6 linked regions of the Oryctolagus cuniculus genome follow. The protein of the gene in region 1 purifies or fractionates together with the protein of each later gene. This does not show direct contact. Links are inferred from orthologs where the notes say so. Each region holds a gene or a part of one and is shown in the gene's direction. Other genes may lie near its edges.

Evidence for each region.
Region 2: the proteins of SMARCD1 (region 1) and ACTL6A purify together in Homo sapiens (affinity purification with mass spectrometry; 8 studies listed by BioGRID and IntAct, with this or other methods). This does not show direct contact. The link is inferred for Oryctolagus cuniculus from reciprocal best matches to the Homo sapiens genes SMARCD1 and ACTL6A.
Region 3: the proteins of SMARCD1 (region 1) and BCL7C purify together in Homo sapiens (affinity purification with mass spectrometry; 5 studies listed by BioGRID and IntAct, counting the BioPlex papers as one, with this or other methods). This does not show direct contact. The link is inferred for Oryctolagus cuniculus from reciprocal best matches to the Homo sapiens genes SMARCD1 and BCL7C.
Region 4: the proteins of SMARCD1 (region 1) and BICRA purify together in Homo sapiens (affinity purification with mass spectrometry; 5 studies listed by BioGRID and IntAct, counting the BioPlex papers as one, with this or other methods). This does not show direct contact. The link is inferred for Oryctolagus cuniculus from reciprocal best matches to the Homo sapiens genes SMARCD1 and BICRA.
Region 5: the proteins of SMARCD1 (region 1) and DPF2 purify together in Homo sapiens (affinity purification with mass spectrometry; 9 studies listed by BioGRID and IntAct, counting the BioPlex papers as one, with this or other methods). This does not show direct contact. The link is inferred for Oryctolagus cuniculus from reciprocal best matches to the Homo sapiens genes SMARCD1 and DPF2.
Region 6: the proteins of SMARCD1 (region 1) and BCL7B purify together in Homo sapiens (affinity purification with mass spectrometry; 4 studies listed by BioGRID and IntAct, counting the BioPlex papers as one, with this or other methods). This does not show direct contact. The link is inferred for Oryctolagus cuniculus from reciprocal best matches to the Homo sapiens genes SMARCD1 and BCL7B.

The regions. Positions count from the first base shown.
Region 1 is NC_091442.1:53,422,032-53,426,721, forward strand, and holds part of SMARCD1 (SWI/SNF-related matrix-associated actin-dependent regulator of chromatin subfamily D member 1), read left to right. Parts: coding exon 1-43; intron 44-1,049; coding exon 1,050-1,166; intron 1,167-2,321; coding exon 2,322-2,423; intron 2,424-2,694; coding exon 2,695-2,856; intron 2,857-3,288; coding exon 3,289-3,386; intron 3,387-4,690. UniProt on the Homo sapiens protein: Involved in transcriptional activation and repression of select genes by chromatin remodeling (alteration of DNA-nucleosome topology).
Region 2 is NC_091435.1:100,246,457-100,251,784, reverse strand, and holds the start of ACTL6A (actin-like protein 6A), read left to right. Parts: upstream 1-1,980; 5' UTR 1,981-2,166; coding exon 2,167-2,191; intron 2,192-5,328.
Region 3 is NC_091450.1:6,278,549-6,283,238, forward strand, and holds part of BCL7C (B-cell CLL/lymphoma 7 protein family member C), read left to right. Parts: intron 1-3,799; coding exon 3,800-3,994; 3' UTR 3,995-4,690. UniProt on the Homo sapiens protein: May play an anti-apoptotic role.
Region 4 is NC_091449.1:10,029,441-10,034,130, reverse strand, and holds part of BICRA (BRD4-interacting chromatin-remodeling complex-associated protein), read left to right. Parts: coding exon 1-16; intron 17-1,951; coding exon 1,952-3,928; intron 3,929-4,306; coding exon 4,307-4,483; intron 4,484-4,690. UniProt on the Homo sapiens protein: Component of SWI/SNF chromatin remodeling subcomplex GBAF that carries out key enzymatic activities, changing chromatin structure by altering DNA-histone contacts within a nucleosome in an ATP-dependent manner.
Region 5 is NC_091432.1:6,292,118-6,297,338, reverse strand, and holds the start of DPF2 (zinc finger protein ubi-d4), read left to right. Parts: upstream 1-1,922; 5' UTR 1,923-2,149; coding exon of another isoform or gene 2,150-2,181; intron 2,182-5,195; 5' UTR 5,196-5,221. UniProt on the Homo sapiens protein: Plays an active role in transcriptional regulation by binding modified histones H3 and H4. Is a negative regulator of myeloid differentiation of hematopoietic progenitor cells. Might also have a role in the development and maturation of lymphoid cells.
Region 6 is NC_091450.1:50,488,325-50,493,014, forward strand, and holds part of BCL7B (B-cell CLL/lymphoma 7 protein family member B), read left to right. Parts: exon of another isoform or gene 1-1,504; coding exon 1,505-1,601; exon of another isoform or gene 1,602-1,605; intron 1,606-3,242; coding exon 3,243-3,413; intron 3,414-4,690. UniProt on the Homo sapiens protein: Positive regulator of apoptosis. Plays a role in the Wnt signaling pathway, negatively regulating the expression of Wnt signaling components CTNNB1 and HMGA1.

The DNA.
Region 1 (4,690 bases):
GGCTTCCTGGGAGCTTCGGGTAGAAGGACGGCTCCTGGAGGACGTGAGTTCAAGGTCCACCGTGGTCGGCGTCCAGGGTGGGAGTTGCTGGGAACGGAGCAGTGCTCTCTGGTCGCAGGACGCCCGGCTGCTGCTCACAGCCCCTGTGAGAGGGACGCTCTGTGCCCTGCGCTGAGAGACAATGGTTCTTTGTATCTGGCTCCTACAGCTCTGGCCCTCACGGGGGTCGAATGGAGAACCTTATTGTCCTGGGATCTGATTTGTTGTTTACCTTCCTCCTGGTGCTGCTGACCGTTGGATTTAGCAGTATCTGCAGATGGTTCTGTTGTGTGGGTTTGTTTTTTGTTTTTTGGGTTTTTTTTTTTTTGTACTTAGCATTGGAAGCCATGTTTCCTCTGAGTCCCGAGGTCCTTGATCCCCACTGTGGCCCCCCTCCATCTTCCCGACTCTGATTGGAGACACCCCGCGGGGTAGATTTCCCTGGCAGCCTCTCGGTTGCTTCCCGGGGAGCATCAGCTAGCAGCCCCCAGACCGCCCACCCCAGCAGCTCCTTGGGAGAAGCTCACCTTTCTTCTCACTCCCCTCCGAGCTGCTGGCTGGCTATTTTTAGCTGCTCGCAGGCAAGCTAATTTGAATGCACTTTCGATGGAGAGTCAGGGCTTAGAGCCTCCGTCTTGTGTACGTAGGTCCAGCCCAGCTGCTGGTGGTGTCATTGTGTCCACATACAGCTGATTCCCTTTCCCTCTAAGTCGGGCTTTTCTCTGTTCTTACTCACTGTGCTACGTGCAGGGGTTCGTCTGAACTTTCCCCAGGGGTGAGTCAGTGTGACAGGCTGTTGCTTCAGGGTGTCTGTTGCTACCATGTCTGGTGTAATACCCATGAATGCCTACCTTCCCATCTCCTAAGATACTCAGAAAACATTTTTGAGTTGTGTGTGTTGTTTTTTTTTTTTTTTTTCGGTTGTTGTGGGTTCCTTTTTGGTAGGACTTTGTCTTGGGGAGCTTCTTCTGCCCTTTATTCTAACTTCAGCTTTTCCTCTCTTTCTCCAGTCAGCCTTGTCCAAATATGACGCCACCAAACAAAAGAGGAAGTTCTCTTCCTTTTTCAAGTCCTTGGTGATCGAACTGGACAAAGATCTGTATGGGCCAGACAACCACCTGGTAGAAGTAAGTGGTTCCACCTGCTTTCTGTGACCTGGAGCCAGACCTTGAGGTCCCTGGAGAGGAGAAGGTGCAAAGGAGAGAGCTGCCCCAGGTGGCCAGGACCGCCGCTACAGTTTGCACAGTAGCCTCCAGGGGGCGCTAGCAGTCTTAGTTTGCACCCAGGTGCGCTTGTCACGTTACCGGCCCACCTTTCACGGGGAGGCCTCTCCTACAGGCCAGGCCTTCTCTGCATCTTGCCTGCTGACAATGGCGAGTCGTAGTGAATCCATACACCCTTCTTAATTTTCCCCTCGTAGCAGTTGCTGCGTTTAAAGTGACTGACTGAGAGGGTACTCGAACTTGCTGAGGTTGCCATCGTAGTTCTGGGGCTCCCTTTTGGTACCTGCTTCATTAAATTTGCATACAAAATCACCAGAACCCCCTTTTTTCACAATGGCGTATTGCATTGCCACGGTGTCCCTCAAACCTAACAGTATTCTTTGAGACGCAGTTAAAGGCAGAACGAGAGCCCAGCATGCCGAGTGAACCTAACCTGCTCCTTTCTTTGCCAGTGTAGCCGCAGCCCCTAAGAGACATGGGAAGGTCTTTGGCACCTAATGAGGGAAGTAAGTCGTAGACTCGGTAGAGATTCGTAAATACACGTCCTTTTATAGCATAGAGTGTAGTGGCTGTGGAACCAGACAGAGCGCAGGCTGCAGCCCTGTCACGTGCTGTTTGACCCAGGCAAGGTCCTTTCCTTCTTCCGGGCACTAGCTTTCTCGGCTGTCGAGTGGGTATGTCTTGTCTGGCTGTTGGGGAATGAAACGAGGTGATCCAGGTCCATGCCTTAGACTGCTCTGGCACATAGTAGGTACCGAGAGAACAATAGCTGGTGCTGTGTTACTGTTCACGTCTGTGGTGCCCACTTTGTGTGCCTAAAATTGCCGCTGGCACTTGTGGCCACTTTTCACGCAACCCCAAAGAGTCCCAATTAGAGGTGTGACCCACGTATGCACAGGAGCACGTCGTAGTCCCAAAGCCGTGTGCACTTTTAAAAATGCACCTCTCCAGCAGCCTCAGTGCCAGAGTTGAGCCGTCAGTCACTATAGCAGCTCTTCCCTCCCGCCCCTCCCAGCTCTTCCTCTGGGAGAGCACCCCCTGACACCTTCCTCTCTGTAGTGGCACAGGACCGCCACCACCCAGGAGACCGATGGCTTCCAGGTGAAGCGGCCTGGCGACGTGAATGTACGGTGTACGGTTCTGCTGATGCTGGATTATCAGGTACCCTGTGAGGTGGGAGGGACCCCGGCTTGCACAGCCATATCCTCTGAGCCCCCGACTTTGAAGGGCTTAAGTTTGAGCGTGAAAACATTTGCACTTTAGTACAGGACTAGCGTCGTCGTCTCCGGGTTCCTCCGCGCGAGAGAGCACCACGTGGCTGTTAGATACTTGGACATGCCACCAAGTGTGTGCATGGGAGCCCCCTCCCCCACACGGTGCACCTAGGCCCGAGTTACCAGCTCTGTTCTCTCTACTCTCTGGTTTTCCACAGCCTCCCCAGTTTAAATTGGACCCTCGCCTGGCTCGGCTATTGGGCATCCACACCCAGACCCGTCCAGTGATCATCCAGGCACTGTGGCAGTATATCAAGACACACAAGCTCCAGGACCCGCACGAGCGGGAGTTTGTCATCTGTGACAAGTACCTCCAGCAGGTAAGGAGAGGAGCTGTTCTCTTGCTAGGATTCACCAGAGCTTTCAGTAATCTTAAAACGCCAACTTTGCAGCCAGTGTCATAGCGCAGTGCGTTAAAGCGCTGCCTGCAACCCCATATTTCCGTCTGGGTACCAGTTCCAATCTCAGCTGCTCTGCTTCCAACCCAGCTTCCTGCTAACGCGCCTGGGCAAGCAGCGGGAGATGGCCCAAGTGCTTGGCCCCTGTACTCATAAGGGAGACCCAGATGGATTTCCATTCTCCTGACTTTGGCCTGGCCCCACCCCCAGCCGTTGCAGACAGAGCTGAGCCAGCAGATACAAAGACCTTGCCTCTCTGTGCCTCTGCCTTCCAAGTAGATAAAAGAAATCTTCAAAAAAAAAAAAAAAAAAAAAAAAAAACCAACTTCTAGCAGCTTCTCCACTATCCCACAGATCTTTGAGTCTCAGCGTATGAAGTTTTCAGAGATCCCTCAGCGGCTCCACGCCTTGCTCATGCCACCGGAGCCCATCATCATTAACCATGTCATTAGGTAAGCGGTGTCCTACCAGCCTGCATGGGCCAGCTGTCAGCTGTTTGGGGGTTTTGAAGGCAGCTTGTTAAACAGAGCTGATGTTTAACATTAAGCTATATAAATACAATTGAACGCATTGACAGCAAGGGTAATGTATACTGCAAACTTGCACGTCCTAATTGACTATATTTTATTGGTGTTGTGCTCTCGGGTGTGTGTGCCTCTGTTGGGTCTGTGGTAGGAGTCCTGTGTGATGGTGTGTTAGTGCACATCCCTTCCTGATTCCCTGAGCACTGCTGTATCGTGGTAGCTGGAAGCCAGCCACGTTGAGGATGTTCAAGCCACAGGAACGAGCAGATGTGACGGGCCAGGTCCTTCCCCAGCCCTCCTTCGGGGGACCTCAGCATCTGTTGGCTCAGTGCTGATGGGAGGGATCAGCAGCCATTTCTCCTGGGTCCGTCCTAGGGCTTCCAGCTGGAGCTCGAACTCCATCCCTTCTGTTCACTTTTCTTGTTCCCAAGTTAGAGAGCGAGGCACTTCTAGGCAGATACGGAGTGAAGAAGAGTACTTCCTCCTCAGAGCAGCATTTCTCTGTAGTTAGACAGCGTCTCTCTGTAGTTAGACAGCGTCTCTCTGTAGTTATCGTCTTGCCTTCCTCGCTTTGCTGCAGATTCTATCCAGTCAGGGGCCTGAACCATCACTCACCTGGTAGCAGTTCCTATACCCTATAAGTTGGCACTGGAGCTGGTCTGTCCTGTATTCCCGTGCTTAAAGTTAGGGATGTGTGTGTGTGTACACATTATTTTCAGCGTCAAAGGTTGGGGCTGGCGCTGTGGCTAGGTGGATAAAGCTACCTCCTGTGACACCAGCATCTCATATGGACGCTGATTCGAGTCCCGGCTGCCCCACTTCCGATCCAGCTCCCTGCCAGTGTTCTGAGAAAGATGACCCAAGTGTTTGGGCCCCTGCTACCTATGTGGAGACCCAGGTGAAGCTCCTGGCTCCAGCCTAGCCCAGTGCTGGCTGTTGCAGTCATCTGAGGACTGAGCCAGCTGATAAAAGGTCTCTTTCTGTCTCCCTCCCTCTGTGACTCTAACTTTCAAAATAAATAAGAGGGTTTTTTTTTTTTTTTTTTTAAAGTTGTGTTTGTTTCAAAGGTGGAGTTACAGAGAACAGGGAGTGAGGGAGAGATGTCTTCCGTCTGCTGGTTCGTTCCCCAAATGGCCTCGCCAGCTGGAACTGGGTCAGTCTGAGGCCTGGAGCCAAGAGCTTCTTCCGGGTCTCCCACGTGGGTGGTACGGGGCCCAGGTTCTTGGGCCATC
Region 2 (5,328 bases), on another chromosome or scaffold:
TCAAATGGAGCAAAAACTTTAAACAAAAACACCTCAGTATGATTTTCCAGTATTCTCTTAAACTGCCATTTTCTGTGCTCTTATGGCGCAAATGCCATAAATGAATGAAGCTTGGTTGTGTCCCAAATAAAACTTAGTTTAGGTCACAGAAATGTCAATTTCATCAAATGTTCACATGCCACAAAATAGTCTTAAAAATACTTTTTAAAAACCCATTAAAAAAATGGAATATGCATTCTTAGCTTGAAGGCTGCACAAAAATAGATGGCAGGTAGGATTTGGTCGTAGGGCCATAGCTTGCTGACCTCAGCATTACCTCACCGGGTTGATGGGAGTTTCCTGTTTGATCAGATACACTTGCGATTCTACTGTCAAGTGAACTGGAAAGAGTTTTCTCACAGGCCTTGCTTGGCACCCAACACTTTGTACCACCCCGCAGGCCTGGAGAGGAGGGAGTTCTATTCCATGTTCCTATGGCTAGGGGCAGCCCTTACATGCTTAGACTGTAGACTTAAGAAGGGCTGTCACAGGCACAGGCAGCGACGTGAAGGGTTTGAGCCTCTTTATAGATGAAGCTGCTTGCAGCCTGTGAAGAGGCAGTGACAAGTGGTTGCAGTAATCGAGGGGAGAACGACAGTGGGCTGGCCTGGCTGGTGGAAATCATCTACTAAGCAGAGCAGACAGACTGGAGATGTATTTAGGCTTAGATGCTTGCCTGAATGAGCATCGATTAGCTCGTTCAATACCTGTCTCACCAGATAAAAGAAACGGATGACCTATCTAAATGTAGTTGGTACAATGCATCACGTCTTAGCCATGAATAAGCATTTTAAAAAATTGCAGGATCCTTCCCCTGGTGGGAGTTCTGGCGTGCAGAGGCCAGCTGTTTCGGCCTTTGCTGACGCCAGGCAAGGACACGTCCCTGCCTCTCGCTGGACACCTGGGAAAGGCATTGGCCCGTTACCTCCCCGCTGAGTCAAGTGTTTCCTGGTTCAGAGAGGAAGTGGCGTCATTCATGCCTCACTCCTGGCTTCCGGCTTTGATTTTGTAACCTCTGGCCTTTTTTGATCATTGGAATTGTATATCTAAGTCGGCTTGTGACCTGGCGAGGTGGTCACGGGGCTCTCCTGTCTGCCCGCCTGTTGACTGCTTGCTTTATCAATATTGGGGTTCCCAGTTGTGAGGCAGTGGCCGAGGGTGGCATCTGTGGGGAGAACCTGCCAGAGGCCTGCACGCAGGCCCGAGTCTGCCGGTGAACCGCTCTCCCTGCTGAGAAGCCAAACGCCGCTCCTCTGTGTGACTGGCGGCTGAGCCCTCAACTTGCCCTTGACCTCCACGAAGAACTGCGCGCCGTGAGGCTCCCTCCTTGCCGAAGTTCGGATATGAGTTCGTTTTCCTTTGCCAAGGGACCTGCTGGTGATTGGGAAATGCCTGTGTCTGGGGTTAACAATGGTTTCTAAGTGAATAAACGGGCCATTTAATTCTGTAACAAAAAATTAAAAAAAAAAAATTGCAGGAGCCTATTAATTTGTTTGATTCACTGGTTGACCCTACACAAAGTGGAGTACAATTTTATTCAACAAATGTTGGTTGAAAATGCTTTTTTTATGGAAAATCTTTAAAAATCCGTAAATTCACTGCAGTGCAAGGTCAGGAATTACTGCTCGTTGACACTTTATCCTATTTCCATACTTTATCCCATTTCCAGCCTCTTTCCTGAGCCCCTTCCCGCCCCAGGTTCCCACCGCGCCTCGGCGCCTGGTCACACCCCTGGGCCCGCCCCCCGACGCCTGGCTCTCCCGCTCCCTCCGCCCACCCTGCAAGCTCCGCCCCCTGGAGTCCCGCAACCCAACTCCTGCCCTCCTTCCGTCGCTTTCCGCCCAACCCCGCCCCCATGGCCACCTTCGATTGGCTAAACTGGCGGAGCCGCGGCGGGGATGCAGCGAAGCCGCATTATGATTGGCTGAAAGGTAGGCCTCCCTCCTCGTGATTGGCTGCTAAGGGGAGCCAGCAAGTGTGGCTGAGCTCTCGGGTGTGTGGACGCCGCTTTGTTGCCGGAGGGGGGTGGCGGTGGAAGTTAAGGGGGTCGGGGGCCAGCGCGTGTGGCGGCCGCTGTAGTCACTTCGCCCGGCACCTTTTCGCCCAGGAATCAAGCCGACGGCAGCCATGAGCGGCGGCGTGTACGGGGGAGGTGAGTGAAGGCGGCCCGGCCAGAGAGCGCGCCTTTTTGGCGTGTGGGGTTTGTAACCGCCGCCCCCAGCCCTCCCCTACCCGGCGGTCCCTTCCGGTCTCCCCCTCTCGGGACCCCGGCCTCCCCGCCCCATCCCCGCCCCGCGCTCTGCCCGCCCCCGGAGCCCACCCGGCTCAGCGTGCGCCTCGGGCGCCGGAGGAGCTGGGCTTTTGGGGTCGCGCGTGCTGCTTCCAGCGGGCCGGCCCGCGGCGCCCCGGCTGGAGTGTCTCGCCTCGGGGTGGCAGCCCCGCGTGTGTCTGCAAAATTCGCCCGTGTGGGGCTTGCGTCTGCGTTTAACCTGGGAGGCCCCCAGCAGTTGGCGAGCGCGGACGGAGGGTGTCCGCAACGTCCCATAGAAGGCAGAGCGGCCGCGAGAGGTGGACCGAGGGGAGAGGGGGCGGCCGCCTCGGTCTGCGCCCTGCGCTCGCGCTGCCTCACGTTCCTCAGCAGCTCCTGCCCATTCTTGACCGTGGAGTCTGCGGAGTTACTCGTGGGAGGGCCTGGTTGGGATGAATCTAGAGACACATGCAATTTAAGGACGCCCGGAAGCTTTGCCTGAGGTCCCGGGCGTCTGTTCTCTGGCTTTTCTTGAGTAGACTGTGTTGTGGTACAAAGATTACCACGGGCTGTGGGCATCGTCAAACTTCTCAGCGCCTTGGCCTTGGGCAGTTTACTTTCCCCGACTTTGCGCCGCTCGCTCGTGGGATGGGAATTCCTTAGCCAACGAGGGTGGCTGCCAAGATGGACCGACATGAAGCTACACCTGCTGCTCCAATTGAAGTCCGTGGAGCGGCAATATCAGCATCACCTGCAAGCTGTTTAGAAAGAATCTCAAGGCCCACCCTCCGTTCTACAGAGTCAGGGCTTCCATTTTTGAAAGATGCCCCAGACAATTGGAGCACTCACTGTTGGATTCACATTTTGGGGTGTGTTTGAGTTAGAGACCCAAAAGACAAATCCGAAATACAGTCAGCCTTGAGTAACTGTGGGCTCCACATCTGTGGATCCCACTAACTGTGGACCAGAAGTATTCAGAAAAAATTGCATCTGTATTGAACATGTGCAGATTTTGTTTCTTGTTATTCCCTAAAGTATAACAGCTGTTTACATAGTGTTTACATTGTACTAGGGATTATAAGTAACATAGAGAACACCTACTTAAAGTATCCAGTAGTCTGTGCCACAGGTTATAGGCAAATGCTACATCGGTTTATATAGTCGACTTGAGTATCCAAGGATTTTGGTGTATGGGGGTAGGGTCCTGTAACCAATCCGCTGCAAACACTGAGGGACTATGTGCTTGCTACTGCTACTGTTTTAGTAAGGATTCTCTTTCTGAAGAGGATGGCATTCCGCAGGTAAAGGGATAGGTAACTTTTCTAAGTTCTTAGTATTTTTGGTGGTGTAGTTTCAGAGTCTTCTCTGAGGCAGCATGCTGAGCCTGTTGCCTCCTCCTTCCTATTTTGTGTCCTTGATTTTCTTATTTTTACTTTGGATCTTGTTAATTCACCTCTTCCCCATCTGAAGATTCAGTCTTGACTCCAGAGAAACTGAGTCTAGACTCTTAGGAGCTCCAGGTTCATTGAATCAAGGATCCGGAGGCTGTCCAGTATTCCTTACAAGGCATTGTTTAGTATGACTGGTAGGAATGGGATAATACTAATGCTAGCAGCTAGCATTTATTAGGTGCGTACTGGAGACCAAGAGTATTCCAAAGGTTTTATGTGCATTATTTTTAATCCATGCAGTAACTCCTATAATCTACAACCACCATGTAAGATGGTATTATTATCCCTGTGTTACTGAAGAAAATGATGTAAAGATAGGAAAGGTTAAAAATCAGCCCAAAGTCATAATTATCTAGGGAGTTGAGAGCAAAAATCTCTGAAATAAAGGGCATTTCAGCCAAGCCCTTCCCTACTCCTTTAAAAAAGCCATTTCTTTGGTTATTTCTCTGTGTGTCATGTTTCAGTTATACAACCATAGTATTACCATGTATGACTTAGGTGTTCAGAATAAAACCACTTCTTGCTAGCTTATTCAGAGGAGTGTAAGGATTATTCAGAAAGTTTATGGAAAATGGAGTTGAATGTTTATTTTAGTGTGAACATTTTTGGAATTTAATCAAGAAAGCTTATGAAAAAACATGGATTTCAAAAATTTTTGCACCAAAATACTTAGTTTTTAATTCATTTTCCATGAACTTTTTGAAGTACTCTGATGTTTTAAAGTCTTTCATGTAGAAAGTACTTAGAATTCACAAAAGTAAGTATGATTTTGTGTTTATAGTGGATCATATTTTTCCAAGGAATTTAGTGTTAAAAGCAACCAAACCATTCACTTAAAAATGTTGAGTAATTGGGCCGGTGCTGTGGCATAGTGAGTAAAGCCACCGCCTGCAGTGCCGGCATCCCATGTGGGTGCCGGTTCGAGTCCTGGCTGCTCCATTTCTGATCCAGCTCTCTGCTGTGGCCTGGGAAAGCAGGAGCTTCTTCCAGGTTTCTGACATGGGTGCAGGGGCCCAAGGACTTGGGCCATCTTCTACTGCTTTCTCAGGCCATAGCAGAGAGCTGGATAGGAAGTGGAGCAGCCGCGTCTCGAACCGGCACCCATATGGGATGCCGGCGCTTCAGGACAAGGTGTTAACCCGCTGCACCACCGTGCTGGCCCCCTTTATAAATTTTAAAATTTATGCTTGCCTCTAATTCTAATAATTATTTCCAAGCAAATCTAAAACTGACCTTCAGCTTTAGGTATAATGCATGATTCATCTGGATTTCCATCCTTTCTAAGTAGTTTCTGGGCCTACTTATTGCTCTTGCAATTATCTTCCATGGCACTTCTCTACTTTAAACTCCTTTGCATAACAAAAATAAATGTGTACTACCAGACCAACTTTGATAAATTGTTAGTTTCATCACTCTTGTACTATCCATCTCTCTCCATCCCCCCTACCCCGCCAATCTCTAACCTTAAGAATTTCTCAAAGTTGTCTTCCTTGTGAGTTGGCCACCAATCATGGGGCACTCTGATCCAAACAAAAATAAAACTACCTCCCCACCTCTTCCCAAAGCCATTTGCCTTCAAGATCACATTAG
Region 3 (4,690 bases), on another chromosome or scaffold:
TCTGTAACTCTGCCTTTCAAATAAATAAATCTTTTTTTTTTTTTTTTTTTTTTTTTTTTTTTTTTTTTGACAGGCAGAGTGGACAGTGAGAGAGAGAGACAGAGAGAGAAAGGTCTTCCTTTGCCGTTGGTTCACCCTCCAATGGCCGCCGCTGCAGCCGGCGCACCGCGCTGATCCTGGCAGGAGCCAGGAGCCAGGTGCTTTTTCCTGGTCTCCCATGGGGTGCAGGGCCCAAGCACCTGGGCCATCCTCCACTGCACTCCCTGGCCATAGCAGAGAGCTGGCCTGGAAGAGGGGCAACCGGGACAGAATCCGGCGCCCCAACCGGGACTAGAACCCGGTGTGCCGGCGCCGCAAGGTGGAGGATTAGCCTATTGAGCCACGGCGCCGGCTTCAAATAAATAAATCTTTTAAGAAAAATCAAACAAATGGATCTTACTGAATTCTGATTCAAGTAAACAAATTTATGACATTTATGTGACAACTCAAAATCTGAATACACTAGATATTCATTACTAAGGAATATCCAGTGTATATTGTATTATCTTATTTTCATTTAAGAGCCAGACAGATAAAGCTCACATGCACTGGTTCATTCCCCAAATGCTGGCTACACCCAGGTGAAGGCAGAATAGGTGTCTGAATGTGACTGGCAGGCACCCAAGTACTTGAGCCGTCACTTGCTGTCACAAGGGTAAACATTAGCAGGGTGCTAGAATCTAGACTGGAGCTGGGACTCCAACTCACATACTCAAATATAGAATGTGGTTGTCTTAACTGCTACACCAGACACCAGTTTTGCCTTTTTTTTGTATTTGTGGAAAAATACACATAAAATTTACCATTTTAACTATTTTAATTGTACAGTTCAGCAGCATTATGTACTTCCATGCACCATCTATCTCCAGAATTTTCACTCATCTTGTGAAACTTAAACTATACACATTCAACAAAAACTCTTCATATTCCCCTCCCCGGCCAGTCTTGGCAACCTCTGGCCACCATTCCAATTTCTGTCTCCATGAATCAAAGTGCTCTATGTACCTCACATAAGCGGAATAATATAGTATTTGTTCTTTTGTGATGGGCTTATTTCACATAACAGATCCCCGAGGTTGATCCATGTTGAAGCATGGGTCAGAATTTCCTTCCGTTTCACAGCTGAATGTTGCCTTCAATGTAAATACTACACTCATCTGCCAATGGATGCTTGGGTTTCTTCCATTCCTGGACAACTGTGAATAATGCTATTATGAAGATGGGTGTTGGGCCAGCGCCGCGGCTCCTTAGGCTAATCCTCCGCCTTGCGGCGCCAGCACACCGGGTTCTAGTCCCAGTCAGGGTGCCGGATTCTGTCCCGGTTGCCCCTCTTCCAGGCCAGCTCTCTGCTGTGGCCCGGGAGTGCAGTGGAGGATGGCCCAAGTACTTGAGCCCTGCACCCCATGGGAGACCAGGAGAAGCACCTGGCTCCTGGCTTCAGATCGGCGCGGTGCGCCGGCCGGCTGTGGCGGCCATTGGAGGGTGAACCAACGGCAAAAGGAAGACCTTTCTCTCTGTCTCTCTCTCTCTCTCTCACTGTCCACTCTGCCTGTCAAAACAAAACAAAAAAAAACAAAACAAAACAAAAAAAAGAAGATGGGTGTTTAAATAAACCTTTAAAATCTTACTTTCCATTCTTTTGTGTATATACATAGCAGGTGGAATTGCTACATCTTTTTGATGAACCTGCCATACTGTTTTCCACTGCAGTTACACCACTTTACATTGCCACCAATAAAGGGCTTAAGTTTCTTCACATCTTCACCAACACTCATTATTTTCTGGTTTCTTGGTAGTAGCCATCCAGCTTGGCATGAGGCGGTATCATCATGCTCTTGATTTGAATTTTCCTAATAACTGGTGATTTTGAGCATCTTCTTATGTATCTTCTTTGGTTAAATGTCTATTCAACTGCTTTGCCATTTTTAAAAATGGGGTCGTTGTTGTTGAGTTGTAGTTTTAAATATATATTCTGAAAATTAACCTCTTATAGAAATCTGGGGAGCCCTTGTGATGGGACCTGAAAATTAGTATGTTTTTTAAACTTCCCAAGTTTCGAGTACTGTTTTCTTAGGAGACAAAGTAGTAAGTATGTTTAAGTTAATTATCATTAGGATCCATGGGTAATTCATCATCTCAGAACAAAGTACAGAGTCTCCTTCTACCTGATTATGTATTCATCCAGTCCGGTAGAGTCCTTTTTTGTCGCAGGGTACCAGACTCGATTTTCTGACTCTATTCTTTCCTCCTTGCACAGACAGAAATGAAGAAAAAAATATCAACACATCAATACTCTATTTTTAACAATTATTAAAATTATATATGCCTTATTGTCATCCCTTTTCTTTCTGCCTTTCTGTAGAAAGTAACTTTCGACTTCTTAGTGGCTTATGGACTCACAGCATTCTCATTGCCTGAGCATGACTGTTATATATGGTAAGGGGCTCAGCCTGTGCCCGCTCAGACAGTGGTAGTCCATTTTTCATCTTTGTAGCACTACCCCTGAAAATATCCTTCCTTTCTGGTATCAAGAGGATGAGGCAGACCCATCTCTGAATCTTCTTGTCTCAAGAAATTAAATCAGTAGTAGGCGTGTAGCCTAACAGTTAAGATGCTGGTTAACATGTGCACATCACAGGGGCCTGTGTCACAGCAGGTTAAGCTGCTGTCTACAGTGCTGGCATCCCATATGAGTGCATTTATTTGAGTCCCAGATGCTCCGCTTCCAATCCAGCTCCCTACTAATGCACCTGGGAAGACAGTGGAAGATGGCCCAAGTCCTTGGGCCCCTGCCACCGGCATGGGAGACTCAGATGGAGTTCCTGGCTTCAGCCTGGCCCAGCCCCAGCCGCTGCAGCCATCTGGGGAGTGAACCAGCAGATGGAAGATTTGTTTCTCCCTGTCTCTCAGTAATGTTGTATTTCAAATAAATAAATCTTTAAAAGAAAAGAAAAAGATGCTCATGTCCTCTATCAGGGTGCCTGGGTTCCACTCCTGGCTCCTAGTTCAGCTTCCTGCTAATTCAGACCCTGGAAGGAAGTGGTGATGGCTCAAGGAATTGGTTTCCTACCACCCATGTGGGAGATCTGGATTGTATCTTGGCTCCAGGCCAGGGTCATTGCAGGCATTTGGGGGAGTGAACCAGCAATTCTGAAATGTCTGCCCCTCTCAGCCTCTCAAATAAATAAAAAAAAAAAAAAAAAAAAAAAAAAAAAAAAGAAATCAGCTACCCTCCAAGGACTCCTAACTTTTTTAATGGTAAGTATATTTAGGTACCAATATCTGGGTACTGGGGATATGCATGAGTGCTAGTAGAGGAGTGAAAGTACTGGACCTCACTTGGTGAGAGCTGGAAACTTTTTAAAGATAAAAGTTGACACTGATCTTTCCAATGGAACATACTACTGCTGCACCCTGCTGGTCTGCAGACTCAGCGACCACGCTGACGATCCTTCCCAGTATCTTCCTTTTATAAACGAATAAACAGATTACAAGAGAATTATGTAGATTACCCAAAAATTACACTGCAATGAAATGTGGTGGGAACTGGGATTGAAGACTAGCTCTGTTATCATTCACGGAGCCCCTACAGGTAACCCCACGCGGTGCTGTCTCAGCCTTGTCAGAAATACAAAAACTCAGTCACTTGCCAAAGCCCTGCCACCGCGCTGCCCCACTGAGGACTCCCAAGGCAAGGTCTTCCAAGCCTTGGGCGGCATGAGGAGAGGAAACACTACCCCGGTTTTCTTTCTCCCTGCAGGATTCGGGAGTGAGAATGACAAGGAGAGCCCTCCATGAGAAGGGCCTGAAGCCTGAGCCCCTCAGGAGGCTCCTGCCCCGGCGGGGCCTGCGGACAAACGCTCGGCCCACTTCGGTGCCCGATACCCGAGCTCCCGGGGGAGGAAGCAAGGCCCCCAGGGCGCCAAGGACGATCCCCCAGGGGAAAGGGAGGTGAGCGGGCTCCCCAGGCAAGCAGAGGCCCCAAGATCCGGCCACCTGCCATGCCCCAGGGCGGAACGGGCCTTCGGCTCCACACCCACCGCGGGAACGCCCCGGGCGAGCGGCTCTGCGGCTGCCTAGAACCCACTACGGTCACAGCACCCACCCCGCTCGCCACTGGCTCTCGCAGACAGCAGGCCCGCCGGCGCCCGCAAAGTGTGGGAAGGCCTCGGAGACGAACTCGGACCACACCCTGACTGCCTCGCTGCGAGGTTTCCCGCGCCTCCAGCGCAGGGGAGCAGGGACACCAGGCTGCCTTGCCCACCGCAAGCGCTGAGGATGCGCGCCGTGCCGCAGCGTCCTCCACCCGCGCGAGAGGGCCGAGTCCTGTCAGCGCAACACCACAGGGTCCGCACTGGCGGAAGGTTTCCACAGCGCAAGGGTGCAGAAAATGCTGACCTCGAGCTGCCTGCATCACCTCACGACACCGACAAGGCCTTTGCGGACGCCCAGGCATGCGTCGAGGCCTGCGCATGCGTCGAGGTCCGCGCGTGCGTCTAGGCCCGCGCATGCGCGAGGCCCCGTGCGGCGTGTCTCCGTAGCCCCTTCGCAGGTGGGCCTCGCTAATAGGCGTGTGGACCGGGTGACCTCCAGGGCCAGAGCGCGTGCATCAGGAACTTAACACCAGGTGCCAACCTCACCAGGCAACCTG
Region 4 (4,690 bases), on another chromosome or scaffold:
CTATGAAGGCCCGGGGGTAAGTGGCCGCGGCTGGTGGTGGCAGCCAGGGGAAGGGGAGGGGGACGAGGGCCTGGGAGGTGGGGTTGGGGGGTGAGAGGAAGGCTCCAGCCTGTCCCCAGGAGGTCCCTGCTGGGAGGAGGGCCACGTGGAGTAGAGGCGGGACAGTGGCTGCCAGGCCACGCGGGCTGCACAGGCGAGAGCAGAGGTGAGGACTCTGGGCCAAGGTGGGCGAGGCCGGCCCCAGTCAGTCCCAGAGCAGCAGCCGAGGGCCCACAGGGCAGTGTGGGAGTCGTGGCAGGTGCCCGCTCTGGGGCTCCCAGGGACCGAGGCCTCCTACTCCCCCACCCCACCGGCTGTGGCCTTGATGGTGGCTGTGATGTTAACTTTCCAGTGGCACAATGTTTAAATCCAGAAACACAGCAGCAAGGGGGCCGCGTCTGTAAGCCAGCGACAGTGACACTTCCGCAGGGCTGCCGCTGGCCATCCTCCATCGTCGCTCTCACTCCTTCCTGGCTGTGAGGCCCCCATGGGTTCTGAGTGCGGCCACGCCTGGGGGCAGTGCATTGCAGAACCGGTCCTAGGCGCTCTGCTCGCACTGGGAGCCCCGAGGGCACAGCGCCCTGCCTGGCCTGCAGTCGGCTGGGAGTCGCTCCCCTGTCCCCCTGCCCTGTCCCGCTCGCCTCTCCCTCTGCTGCTGTGCCACATAGTCTCCGCCCGCCTCCTTGGGTGGCGATGATGACAGTGGGGTAGCAGAGGACGCTTCGTATGCACCTGCTCGGGGCTGGGCACCACAGCCTGCCATGTGGGTTGATTTGGAATCTTTTTTGTTTTATTACATCAAACTGGTTTTACATTTTTAATTTATTTTCATTCTTTTTATCTGAAAGATAGAGAGAGAAGCAGAGAGAAAGAGAAATCTTTCATTGGCTGGTTCACTCCCCAAATGTTCACAACAGTCAGAGCTGGGCCAGGCTGAAGCCAGGAGCCCAGAACGTGGGACGTGGCTGGCAGGGACCCAAGTACTTGGGCTGTCACCTGCTGCCTCCCAGGGTGCACATTAGCAGGGAGCTGGGTTGGACGCAGAGTAACCAGGCGCTCCCATATGGGATTTGGGTGTCCCAAGTGGCAACTTAAGCCACCATGTAAAACGCCCACCCAGAACTTGAGATTCACGTCCCACAAGCAGACACCACTGCGGAGCTTTGCATGATATACATTCTTTTTATTTTTTAAAGATTTATTTATTTATTTATTTGAGAGGCAGAGAGAGAGGTCTTCCATCCACTGGTTCAGTCTCTCAAATGGCTGCATCAGCCAGGGCCGGGCCCTGCCAAAGGCAGGAACACAGAACTCCATCCGGGTCTCCCACGCGGGTCTGACGCCTTCCCAGGCCACTAGCAGGGAACTGGGTCAGAAGCAGAGCAGCCGGGATTGGAGCTGGCACTGGGATGTGCATCCCAGGCGGTGGCTTAACCTGTCCCCGAGCACCAGCCCCGCTGCCCGAGTTCATACACGCGTGCGATGTCACACACAGTGCACGCTGGAAACGTCATAGCTCCTCGGACCGCTGTGGGGCCAGGCGTGCATCAGAGCTGGAATCACTGAGATTCTGGACAGGGGCTGCGGTGCGTGTGCGTGTGCCACGGTCAGACGTAGGAAGAGGCACGTGACTCGGGCACGCCGTGAGGCCGGTGGGTTCCAGGGTTCTTCTGGGATTTGGAATCCCAGATGCGTGGTGCGGGCTGGTACAGCTTAGCAAAAAAACCTGATTTTTTTTTTTTTTAAACCTTTGAGAGGTGCCATAGGGAAACGCAGGCCAGGGCAAGCGGCAGCCAGGCCGGAATGTTCCGGAAACAGCCGCTCTGCCGCCCGGGCATCCCGCCCTGCGGCCCCGGCTGAGCTCCACCCCTTGCTAACCTCCCTCCTTCCTTCCTACCCTCCCCGGCCTCAGCTCCACGTGCAAGAAGCCTCCGGTAACCACCTGAACCCGGAGCCCAGCCAGCCGGCCCCCAGCGTGGACCTGGACTTCCTGGAAGATGACATCCTGGGCTCGCCCGCCGCGGGGGGCGGGGCGGCGGGCGGCGGGGGCGCCGACCAGCCCTGCGACATCCTCCAGCAGAGCCTCCAGGAGGCCAACATCACGGAGCAGACGCTGGAGGCCGAGGCCGAGCTGGACCTGGGCCCCTTTCAGCTGCCCACGCTGCAGCCGGCGGACGGTGGGGCAGGCCCAGCGGGGGCCGCCGGCGCTGCAGCCGTGGCCGCGGGGCCCCAGGCCCTGTTCCCCGGCGGCGCAGACCTGCTGGGGCTGCAGGCCCCGCCCACCGTGCTGACGCACCAGGCCCTGGTGCCGCCCCAGGACGTGGTCAACAAGGCCCTGAGCGTCCAGCCCTTCCTGCAGCCCGTGGGCCTGGGCAACGTGACCCTGCAGCCCATCCCGGGCCTCCAGGGCCTGCCCAACGGCAGCCCCGGGGGTGCCACGGCGGCCACGCTCGGCCTGGCGCCCATCCAGGTGGTCGGCCAGCCGGTCATGGCGCTCAACCCGCCCGCCTCTCAGCTCCTGGCCAAGCAGGTGCCTGTCAGCGGCTACCTGGCCTCGGCGGCCGGCCCCTCGGAGCCGGTGACCTTGGCCTCAGCCGGCGTCTCCCCGCAGGGGGCCGGCCTGGTCATCCAGAAGAGCCTCCCGGCCGCCGTGGCCACCACGCTCAACGGGAACTCCGTGTTTGCGGGCGCGGGCGCGGGCGCCGCCACGGCCGCAGCCGGCGGGGCGCCCTCGGGACAGCCGCTGGCGGTGGCCCCGGGCCTCGGCGCGGCGCCACTGGTCCCGGCACCCAACGTCATCCTGCACCGCACACCCACGCCCATCCAGCCCAAGCCGGCCGGGGTCTTGCCCCCCAAGCTCTACCAGCTGACGCCCAAGCCCTTCGCGCCCGCCGGTGCCACGCTCACCATCCAGGGCGAGCCGGGCGCGCTGCCGCCGCAGCCCAAGGCGCCACAGAACCTGACCTTCATGGCGGCGGGCAAAGCTGGCCAGAACGTGGTGCTGTCCGGCTTCCCCGCGCCGGCCCTGCAGGCCAGCGTGTTCAAGCAACCGCCCGCCACCACGACCGGGGCGGCGCTGCCGCAGCCGCCGGGGGCGCTGAGCAAACCCATGAGCGTGCACCTCCTGAACCAGGGCAGCAGCATCGTCATCCCCGCACAGCACATGCTGCCCGGCCAGAACCAGTTCCTGCTGCCGGGCGCCCCCGCCGCCGTGCAGCTCCCGCAGCCCCTCTCCGCCCTGCCGGCCAACGTGGGCGGGCAGATCCTGGCGGCGGCCGCAGCGCCTCACGCGGGCGGACAGCTCATCGCCAACCCCATCCTCACCAACCAGAACCTGGCGGCCCCGCTGAGCCTGGGCCCCGTGCTGGCCCCGCCCTCGGGCGCGCACAGCGCCGCACACATCCTCTCGGCCGCACCCATCCAGGTGGGGCAGCCCGCGCTCTTCCAGATGCCCGTGTCGCTGGCGGCGGGCAGCCTGCCTACGCAGAGTCAGCCGGCGGCCGCGGGGCCCACCGCCACCACCGTCCTGCAGGGCGTCACCCTGCCCCCCAGCGCCGTGGCCATGCTCAACGCCGCCGATGGGCTGGTGCAGCCCGCCACACCTGCTGCCGCCGCCTCCGGGGAGGCCACCCCAGTCCTCACGGTGCAGCCCGCACCGCCAGCACCGCCCGCAGCCAGCACGCCGCTGCCCCTGGGCCTCCAGCAGCCGCAGGTGCAGCAGTCCCCGCAGGCCACGGCCCCTGCGGCCACCGCCCCGCCTCAGGCCAGCACGCCCCAGCCCAGCCCGGGCCTGGCGTCCAGCCCGGAGAAGATGGTCCTCGGGCAGCCGCCACCTGTAGCCACCACAGCCATCCTCACTCAGGACTCCGTGCAGATGTTCCTGCCCCAGGTACTCGGGGCCCGGGCGAGGGTGAGGGGTGTTGGGAACTGGGAGACCCCAGAGCTGAGAGAGGCTGGCCAGGGTCTGGTGGGGTGGGGCTGACACGTGGCCACCCCTGGCTGAGCTGGACAGACCGCGGGCTGACAGCCACGGGGAGGGATGGGCTGACAGGCGGGGAGGGGTCTCGGAGTGCACAGCAAATGACTGAGTGAACGTGATGGCCAGGTCAGGAAAGCAGGAGGGCCAGGCGGGCTAGGGGTGGGACCAGCCAGCCGGGTCCCGCTGCTGCGCCCGCCACCCCCTGCTCTGCAGCCCTGGGGCAGGGGCGGTGTGGACGGGGTCCCCGGGCGTGGCCTTCTGACCCCTGTGCGGGCTGCCCCGTTGCAGGAGAGGAGCCAGCAGCCTCTCTCCACAGAGGGCCCCCACCTCTCCGTGCCCGCCTCGGTCATAGTCAGCGCCCCGCCTCCTGCCCAAGACCCAGCCCCGGCCACCCCCGTCGCCAAAGGAGCTGGCCTCGGCCCTCAGGCCCCCGACAGCCAGGCTTCCCCGGTGCCGGCCCCCCAGGTAGAGGAACCCCAGCAGCCTCTGTCCTCAGCTCAGCCCCCAGCCTCGCCCCCTTACCCCCTCACTGCTGTCCGCCTCCTCGCGCCCGGCCTGCCTGCCTCTGTCTCGCTGACCTGGGGAAAGGTGCTGTCGTCTCCTACTGCCACCCCCACCCCGCACTGCCTGTGTCTCCTCGCCCCCGGCAGGCAGGGGGAGGGCTCCACACGC
Region 5 (5,221 bases), on another chromosome or scaffold:
ATTTTTAAAGATTTATTTATGAGCCGGCGCCGCGGCTCACTAGGCTAATCCTCCGCCTTGCGGCGCCGGCACACCGGGTTCTAGTCCCGGTCGAGGCGCCGGATTCTGTCCCGGTTGCCCCTCTTCCAGGCCAGCTCTCTGCTGTGGCCAGGGAGTGCAGTGGAGGATGGCCCAGGTGCTTGGGCCCTGCACCCCATGGGAGACCAGGAAAAGCACCTGGCTCCTGGCTCCTGCCATTGGATCAGCGCAGTGCGCCGGCCGCAGTGCGCCGGCCGCGGCGGCCATTGGAGGGTGAACCAACGGCAAAAAAAAAGGAAGACCTTTCTCTCTGTCTCTCTCTCTCTCACTGTCCACTCTGCCTGTCAAAAAAAAAAAAAAAAAGATTTATTTATTTATTTGAAAGGCAGAGTTACAGAGAGAGAGAGGTCTTCCATCCGCTGGTTCACTCCCCAACTGGCCAAAATGGCTGGAGCTGCACCGATCCGAAGCCAGAGCCTGGAGCTTCTTCTGGGTCTCCCACGCAGGTGCAGGGGCCCAAGGACTTGGGCCATCTTCCACTGCTTTCCCAGGCCACAGCAGAGGGCTGGATTGGAAGTGGGGCAGCCAAGATGCCAGCACTGTAGGCGGTAGCTTTACCTGCTATGCCACAGCCCCGGCCCCCTGCTGTTTTTAAATTTAAACTTTTCATTGAAACACATACAGAGAAATGCACAGGTCTCGTGTTGCCGGTTACAAAGAGAACAGGGGGGATGTATAACAGTCCTCGCCCCCCAGTGCCAGCTCCTGTCCCCTCTCCTGCCCTCTCGCGATAATGAGTCTGTTGTGTAACTTGACGTAAATGAGCCCGTACAGTGTGTTCTCGTGCATCTGGCCTCTCTGGATCGATATTAAGTGCTGGAGATTCGTTCGTGATGTGGTAATCCCTCGTTCTCATAGAGGGAGGGGCTTGCTGGATCATAGGGCAGGTGCACTCGGATGCTTAGTGCTGGCGAACTTTCGCAAACTATGCATTCAATTTTACTTGAAAGGCGGAGAGGGGGAGGACAGAGAGACAGAGATCTTCCATCGCTGGTTCACGTCCCGGGTGCCGGCCACAGCCCGGGCTGGCAAGCAGCAGCCCAGGACCCAGGCCAGATCTGCCCTGTGGGTGGCAGGGACCCAAGCGAGCTCTTCTAACCTCCTAGGGTGCAGGAGGTTAGCATGGGGAGCTCTGACCCCCGGGGCCCCGCAGTCCTCTGGGTAACAGGATCGTGCCGGCTTCCCTTCCACACTGCGACACCACTCAAACTCAGGTGCGGTGCAGGGTAAGCAACGGCCAGTTCCTCTCGACTCCGACCAGGCAGGCACCGTCCTGAATCGCAGGGACGGAAGACACGGCCTCACTCGGAAATGCTAACACGTGGGGGCAGGCCCCAGGCGCATCTTGGAACTGGCGCTGCGAGGGGCAAGGACGAAGCCTGGGGCGCTGGGCCGGGGGCGCCTGAGCGCGGGAGGCGGCCGGGGCAGGGTCTGGAAAAGCAGGGACCGATCAAGAAGCCCACCAGGACACAGAGCAGGTCTCTCAGTCTGCTGGGGTCGACCCTGGGCGACTCCGTCGGGAGCTGATTCCAGGGCTCCGCTGGGGCCCGAGTCGCCATTCAGCCGGGTGGAGGAGAGACCCGGCCGCCAGCTAGCACCGAGGCTGCCCGCGCTTAGGGGGCCGGAGGTGCGGCGCGCCCCTCTCACCTCCCGCCGCCCGCACCGCACCGCACCGCACCGCACCGCACCCGTGCGGTAAAAGCGTTAACCGAAGCCACAAAGGTCGGCGAGGAGCCAGGATACGTCCAGCCCGTCTCTGGGCCTCCCGGCTTCCGCCAGCCTCTGCCGTCTCGGTCCTGCACCGGCCCGAGCGCTCCCTCGCTGCGCTAAACCCGAAGGCCGGGCGCCCCCCGCCCAGAGGCCCGGAGCTCCTCGCTCCCCGGCGCGCACAGGCGGCGCGTGCGCAGAGACAGGGCGCGCGCGCGGCGGCGCGGTGGGCGGGGCACCGGCGCTCGCGAGCAGCCACGGCGCGTGCGCACAGGGACGCGGCACCCGGGGCCCCGCCGCGGCGCCGGCGCCTGCGCGCTGCGGGCTCCGGGCCCTCCCGGCCTGAGGGAGAGGAGCAGGGAAGATGGCGGCGGTGGTGGAGAATGTAGTGAAGCTGTGAGTGGTCGTTTCTTTCTCTCCCAGGCGGAGAGGTCTTGTGAGGGGCCTGGGAGTAGGGGGCGGTGCGGGAAGAGAGGAGGCGGCCGGGGGGACGGGCCCGGGAAGGCCGTGGTTGCCGCTCCGGGTGGGGAGTGCGACGCGGGGGGGGGGAGGACTCCGGAGAAGACGTTGCGCCTCTTTGGAAACTTGTGGAGGCCCTGGGCGGGGGGCACGCGGGAGCCCCTGCCCCGCGGCCGCTGTGCGGGGCTGTGTGGGAGCCGCCGCGGGGCCTGCAGGTCGCGGAGTGCGGCGCTCAGGCTGCGGCCCGGAGGAGCCGAGCCCAGGCCCCGGGGGGCCCCGGCGAGTCCCCGCCACGCGCGGCCGTTGGCCCGGAGCAGCAGGCTCGGCGGTCCCTGCGGGGCTGGGGTAGCAGGTGCGCAGGACGCAGGCAGCGCGGAGAAGAAGGGAGAGAAGTTGAGGGGGAGCGGGGCCCGAGCGGGCCAGGCCGGGGGGCGTCCTCCGGGCGACCCGGAGCCGTCGTGCGGGTCAGGGGTCGGGCAGAGCTAAATTGGGTGGTGGTCGGGGACCTGGGGGATGCTGCGGGACTTGGTGACACGAGCCAGCCGCCTGCCCCCCGAGGAAGAGTCCGGTGCGTTGGGAAGCGGGCTGGTGCCCGTGGGCGAGCCTGGGGTGGCCTTGTCGCCGCCGCGCGGACGCGTCTGGCCGTCCAGTTAGGGCTTTTTGGATTCTGGCTGGACGCCAAGGTCAGGTGCGGGGCGTGCTCTCTGGACCCCGCGTCTCCTCTTTGTGGTGGCCGAGCAGGTCGCCTCCCCCTGCCCGCGGCGCTTTCCCCGGTTCCATTAAGCTAAGTGCCTTCTCCCTGGCTTGTGGTTTGGTTTTTTTTTTCCTGACTTGCTTCTTGCTCTGTCCTGCTGCCCCTGGGAGCCAGCCCCCCGCCCGACGCGGTGGTTTCTGCGATCTGCCCACGCCGGTTCCCCAGCTCTGGGCTGGCGTTTCCCTCCCTCTGATGCCTTCCTGACTCGCGGGCTCTTTGTTTGCCCGCCGTGCTCTTTGTTGACCCCCCCCCCCCCGGGAGGGCCCACCTAGGCTCGGTTCCTGAAGCTTCTACCTGGGAAGCCTGTGCTGCGGCCTTGCCGGGTTCTGAGGGGGAGGATGCCCTTGGCCTTGGCAGCTCGGCTTCGCCCGCCGTCTGAGCCAGGGGGTCGGCCGCGTAGCTGCAGCCTGGCTTTTCAGGTCTCGGAAGAACCGGAGGGATTGTGAAGGTCATCAGCCGCCGACTCCGGGTGCCGACAGCGAGACCCCAGCTTCTCTGGGGGCCGGGACTGCTGCAGGCTTCCCTAGGAGGCTTCGCGCCCCTGCACCGAGATGCAGTCCCTGAGCCCCCGTCAAGGTCAGGGCCGCCCGCAGCTCGTCGGGGAGAGGGTGTTCTCTTTGTGAGTGCTCTGTCTCTACCGTGGTAGCAGAGTGGACGCCCCCTCTCGGGTCTCGCTGTGAGAGTACGGTGGTGCAAAACAGTGGTTTGGGAACTCTCTGAGTCAGGTACCAGAGCTGCAGGATAATTTACGTGAGATATCTTGCTACACGGCCTTGCGTTCCTAAGACCGATCTCTCGCTCTCCTCGTCAGATGCTTCCCACAGTGCCCACTGCGGTGTCCTTCCCAGCCCCGTTACCCCAAGACTGCCGCTTGCCCCGCTTCTGAAGTCCCCTAGGGTCCCCAGAGCTCGACAGAGCGTCTCACGCATCCCCGAGCCCTGCGGCCCGCGGACCCTTCTGTTCCCAGCGTCAGCGTCAGTCGCATCAGCAGAAACAGCCGCTGCACTGAGCCTTGTTTGTCCAGTTTCCTCTGCGTGGGGAGGACGTGGCTGCCTCCTCACGGCCAGCGATGGGAGCCAGCCCCGCTCAGGTCTCCAGCGCAGGGTCCTTGCCTGCATCCAGGCGGACTGTGCTTGGGCGATGCCGTCCCGCGATTGCCTGCTGGGGATGAGGGACGCTCCACTGTGCCGCTCACCGAAAGCCCCCATCCGATTGCAGAGCAGGGTTTGTTGGTGTAGCGCCAGAGGTGGGCATGAGCCCGGGAGACGTAGCGCGTGCAGCTCCTCACGCCCGGGGTTGCCTGCTCGTGGGTCCCTGGGATGTCAGAGCTCAGCGAGTGCAAGCTCCCGAAAATGCGGAAGAGACACTGAGGTCCATGCAGGGTTCGTGCAGGTTGACTAAGTGTCCGTGTTCGCGTGCTGACTTGGAGCCCGGCAAGGCCGTTTTATTCCCAAGTCCGGATTGACGGTGTTGCAGATGTTTTCATGGGTATTAGGGAGACTGGGGAGAGAAGTCACCTGTGCCCTCACTTTAAGAGGGATATATTGGCCGGCGCCGCGGCTCACTAGGCTAATCCTCTGCCTTGCGGTGCCGGCATACCGGGTTCTAGTCCTGGTCGGGGCGCCGGATTTTGTCCCGGTTGCCCCGCTTCCAGGCCAGCTCTCTGCTGTGGCCCGGGAGTGCAGTGGAGGATGGCCCAAGTGCTTGGGCCCTGCACCCCATGGGAGACCAGGAGAAGCACCTGGCTCCTGCCATCGGATCAGCGCGGTGCACCGGCCGCAGCGGCCATTGGAGGGTGAACCAACGGCAAAGGAAGACCTTTCTCTGTCTCTCTCTCACTGTCCACTCTGCCTGTCAAAAAAAAAAAAGGGGGGGGTATATTAACTAACTAGGGGTTACTAGTTCCCCCTGCATGACCAAATGGCTGGTTGAACCCTGGTTTCATGTACATACTTTTTAGAACCAGGTAACTCTTGGCACTGTGCAGTTTTCCAGTTCTTCAAAACACTGAAAGATTTGTCCTTAATTCAGATTTCAAATTGAATCTCTTTTTGGGTCAAAGCCGATTCCTGTATAATTTGGGTAGGAACAGGACCTCAGACTAAACAGGTTTCATGTCAGTAATGTTACTCAATGAAAGCTTCGAGGGGGGGTGGGTGTTTGGTACAACAGTTGACATGCCGCTTGGGACACACAGGTCCTGTATCCGAGTGCCAGGGCTCC
Region 6 (4,690 bases), on another chromosome or scaffold:
TCTGAGGGCTTCGCAAGTCCAGTGTTGGTTACTGAGGTGCATGTGCCCCCAGCAGTCCATGGCAGTGGCGTCCCCCATCGTGGGTCTGCTGGGCAAGAGAACGAGTGACGGTGATCCCGTCAGGGTGAGATGTGCCAGTGCTCCGATGCGGGGATGCCAGGAACACCATAATGCTGCCCTCTCCCCAGTCTTAAATGTACTGGGGCCAGCACTGTGGGGTAGCGGGTAAAGCCACCACCTGCAGAGCCAGCATCCCACGTGGGCGCCAGTTCTAGTCCCGGCTGCTCCACTTCCGATCCGGCTCTCTGCTGTGGCCTGGGAAAGCAGTGGAGATGGCCCAAGTCCTTGGGCCCCTGCACCTGTGTAGGAGACCTGGAGGAAGCTCCTGGCTTCAGGTTGGCCCAGCTCCGACCATTTGGGGAGTGAACCCGTGAATGAAAGACTTCTCTCTCCCTCTCCCTCCTTCCTTCCCTTTCTCTCTCTTTCTCTCTTTCTACCTCTGTACCTCTCTACCTCTCTCTAACTCTGCCTTTCAAATAAATAAATTTTTTTAAAAAGTAAATGTGCCATATTTGGGAAGTAATTAAGTGAATTATGGTTTGTGGAACATTATGCAACTGTAACAATCATGTGTATGGAACGTGCTAAAATGGTTCCGTGTTTGCAATGACATTAGAATAATATCCGCATGTGGAAAATGCGGGAAGGAGACCCATGACTGCATGGCAGGGGTGATTTGTGACAGGGTGCTAGGACTGAGTTTTTAACCAAGCTGAGTCGTGTCTGAGCGCACTTCCTCCACTGTACAGGTGTGGACTGGCCGGTGCGGGGCTGCCCAGCTGTGACCTTTGCACTTCTGGAAGGCTCTCAACTGCGAATGCTTGGATTGACTGTCTTCTTTTCTTTGCCCTGGACTTGCTGGTTGCAAGCTAGTGCTTCCCTCCATCCTGGTCCCCACACCCATAACTTAACCTCCTTGAAAGCAGTGACATGACAGGGAGGGCAGGGGCAGAACGCATGAGGCTGGTGGTGAGCAGCGGAGCCGGCAGGGCCACCCCGTCCTGTCTGCCCGCGTCACACGCACAGCGATGGTTCGTCCCGCCTAATCTGAGTGCTGTTCCCTCACTTGTTCCCTGTGGTGCTACTGAACCGGGCGTCTCTCCCACCTGAGTGTTTCTGGCCCATGCACGTAGGAAAGGGTTGGTTGGAGCGTGTTGCTCAGGGCAGGAGAGCATGAGCGGAGCGGGGTGGGGGTGGGGGGGCTCTGGTGGAGGCGTGTGTGTCTGCCGCTCACTTCTGATGGCTGAGATCCGTGCAGAAGGGTTCGTCTCACAGGTGGAGACACAGGCTTGACACGGAGTATCTCGCCCCAAAGTGTCCCCCTGGGGTCCTTGGGCTCTGCCCCGCCCTCATCCCTGCTCAGTCTGATGCAGACAGCACCCTTCTCCCTCCTCGTGCGGCCCCTGCTTGGCTCTGTCATAGTCCTCTTTTTATCCTTTTCTAGAAAGAAAAGGCAAAATCGAACAGTTCTGCCGCCCGAGAACCTAACGGCTTTCCCTCTGACGCCTCAGCCAACTCCTCTCTCCTCCTGGAATTCCAGGGTGAGTCGCATCCCCATCTTCCTTGCAGGAAACAGACAACGTAGATGGTGTCCCTGCCGAGACCATGGCTACTGTGCGTCTCGTTTCCGTGGCTGCTGTTCCGCTGGGCGCTTAGGTCTTTCACATAGCGCTCCCCCGTGACTGCGAGGCGGGGTCCCATTGAGAACGTCCTTAAAGTGACATCATCGGAAGTGCAGACCCCGCCTTGCGTAGGGCCCGGGTTTCTGAATCACAGGTGCTTTCTGTATGCTGAGTGTTTAATGGCAGTGCCTTAGAGCAGCGGCCAAGTCCGCCGTCAGCCTAAGCCCTGCGCGTGTCAGGCGGCGGTTACTGCTCGTGTGGCGCTGTCGCTCCAGCGTCTTGTTTTCATTCCAATGTCAGCCTGAGCCGTGAGCCAGACAGTGCTGAGACGCCCAGGTGGGGAAGCTCCTTGACCTGCGGAACGCTGCTTCCGCGCTGGTGTGGACGATAATGGACTCAGGAGTAGCAAGACTAGAGCGCGCCCAGCGTGAGACAGGTGAACCCGGGCTGCAGCTGCCCGCTCCACACCTGTGCTCCTGGCCCCAGCAAGGTCACCGCAGCTTCGGGAGACCAGAAGGGAGGGAGGCCGCTCTGTAGCTGTGTGGGGGACATTCAGTAGTCGCAAAGCTCTGGGAGATGTGCGGCTCTGTTTCCTCCGTGTGGTTTCATCCAGTAGTGAGCAGGTGCTGCGTGCTCTGGGCAGCCAAGGACGGCGTGTCCGAGCCTGCCCGCACGGGGTGCAGTGGAAAGACGCAGGTGTGCGCAGGGTATGACAGGAGCTCGGGGGAGCAGGGAGGCAGGGCCCCGCGCAGGGAGCGATGCTGGAGCTGGATGTCGGAACGTGCAGGGCTCTCCAGGAAGACTGGAAAGAGAAAGCTGTTCCTGCCTGGGGAGTGTGAGGCGGGGAGAAAGGCGGGGAGGCCACGAGAGGTGCTGGCGTGTGGGGCTTATCCTGGGAAGTCTCAGGAAGCCCCTCCATCTGTGCAGTGGAGCAGTGTGGAGCCGTGAGCCCTGGGGCAGGCCAGACCGGAGACTGGCCAGCAGGCCTGCTCGGAGATGCTGCAGCCCAGGCCGGGGCTGCAGGAGAGCCAGGCGTGAGCACAAGTGGTTTCATGGCGGGAGCATGGAGCTCACTTGGTGCCTGGGTGCTGGAGGCAGGGCTTGCTCTATGTTGTTATCTTAGGTGGTCGTGTTGGGCCGTCAGACAGAGCTGGCGGATGGCAGTCCTTTGGCCCCGGGGGCAGTTGGCTTGAAGGGCCTGAGCTGAGCCCCTGCAGGTACCAGCTCCAGACAGATGGGTCATTTCCTGCACATCTGTGGCAGGAGGGAGATGGGCAGGTACTGACCAGAGGCGCAGCTGCACCTCTGCCCTGGGCAGTGAGAAACCCCAGTCCAGGCTGCAGCTGGGTGCTGAAGGATCCCGAGCTTCCCGAAGTGCGCAGGTTGCATCAGGATTCCAGCTGCCTCTGTGCTCGGGGTACAGAAATGCCGAAGTGAATCCGCGGGAGCCTGCAGCCAGCCTGCAGGGCACAGGAGCCCTGTGCTGTGGAGACGCCGGGTGTCCTGAGTCCTGTTGAGGACAGCTGCCCGAGCTGTCGCCTTCGCTGTGCTTGGTTTCAGATGAAAACAGCAACCAGAGTTCGGCGTCTGACGTCTACCAGCTGAAGGTGGACAGCAGCACCAACTCGAGCCCCAGCCCCCAGCAGAGCGAGTCTCTGAGCCCAGCACACACCTCGGACTTCCGCACAGACGACTCCCAGCCCCCCACGCTGGGCCAGGAGATCCTCGAGGGTGAGTCTGCCTTCACGATTGTCTTCTTTGGAGGAAGGGGTTAGGGGAGCACCCCACGGCCTGGCACCATCAAGCCATTTGGTAACAGCTTGGCATAGTTACAAAAACTTTTTTTTTTTTTTGACAGGCAGAGTGGACAGTGAGAGAGAGAGACAGAGAGAAAGGTCTTCCTTTTGCCGTTGGTTCACCCTCCAATGGCCGCCGTGGCTGGCACGCTGCTGCCAGCGCACTGCGCTGATCCGATGGCAGGAGCCAGGTGCTTTTCCTGGTCTCCCACGGGGTGCAGGGCCCAAGCACTTGGGCCATCCTCCACTGCACTCCCAGGCCACAGCAGAGAGCTGGCCTGGAAGGGGGGGCAACCAGGACAGAATCCGGCGCCCGACCGGGACTAGAACCTGGTGTGCCAGCGCCGCAAGGCGGAGGATTTAGCCTAGTGAGCCGCGGCACCAGCCAAAAACATTTTTTTTTTTTTTTCAACTTGAAAAGCAGAAAGGGGCCAGTGTTGTGGCACTGCAGGTTAGGCCACTGCTTGTGACACCAGCATCCCGGATCAGTGCATTTCAGTCCTGGCTGCCCCACTTCCAGTCCTGCTCCCACTGACGCACTTGGGAAAGCAGCAGAAGATGGCCCAAGTACCTGGACCCCTGCACCCATGTGAGACCTGGAAGAAGCTCCTGGCTCCTGGCTTCGGCCTGCTCTGGTCCTGGTTGTTGCGGCCATCTGGGGAGTGAATCAGCAGATGGAAGACTTCTTCCTCTCTCTGTCTTGCCCTCTGTGTCATTCTGCCTTTCAAATAAAATAAATCCTTAAAACAAAAAAAAAAAAGAAAACTTCCATCCATGGATTCACTCCCCAAATGCCTATAATACCTGGGACTGGGCCAGGAGGAAGCCAGCAGCCAGGAACTCCATCCAGGACCCCGACATGGGTGTCAAGAGGGTGTTCAGTAGCAGGAAGCTGGGTTCAGAACCAGAACCAGGACTGGAACCCAGGCACTCTGATGTAGAATGCCGGTATCCCAGCCTCTGCAGCAGACACCCAGTGCCCTGCACGTGGGCGTGTTGAGGAAGGACTGACTACCCCGTCCGGAGAGGCAGGAGGAAGCATGCGGCTCGAGCGAGGCGCAGGCGCTGTGGAGCCTGGGTGACCTCTCAGACACCCTGAGACAGAGAGCAAGTGGAGGCCTGGACGGGATCGCGGCGCTGCCAACTGGCAGAGTGGGCGTCAGCTTGAGTCCCTCAGACGCCAGCGTCCGTGCCCTTTGTGCTCTGTCCAGC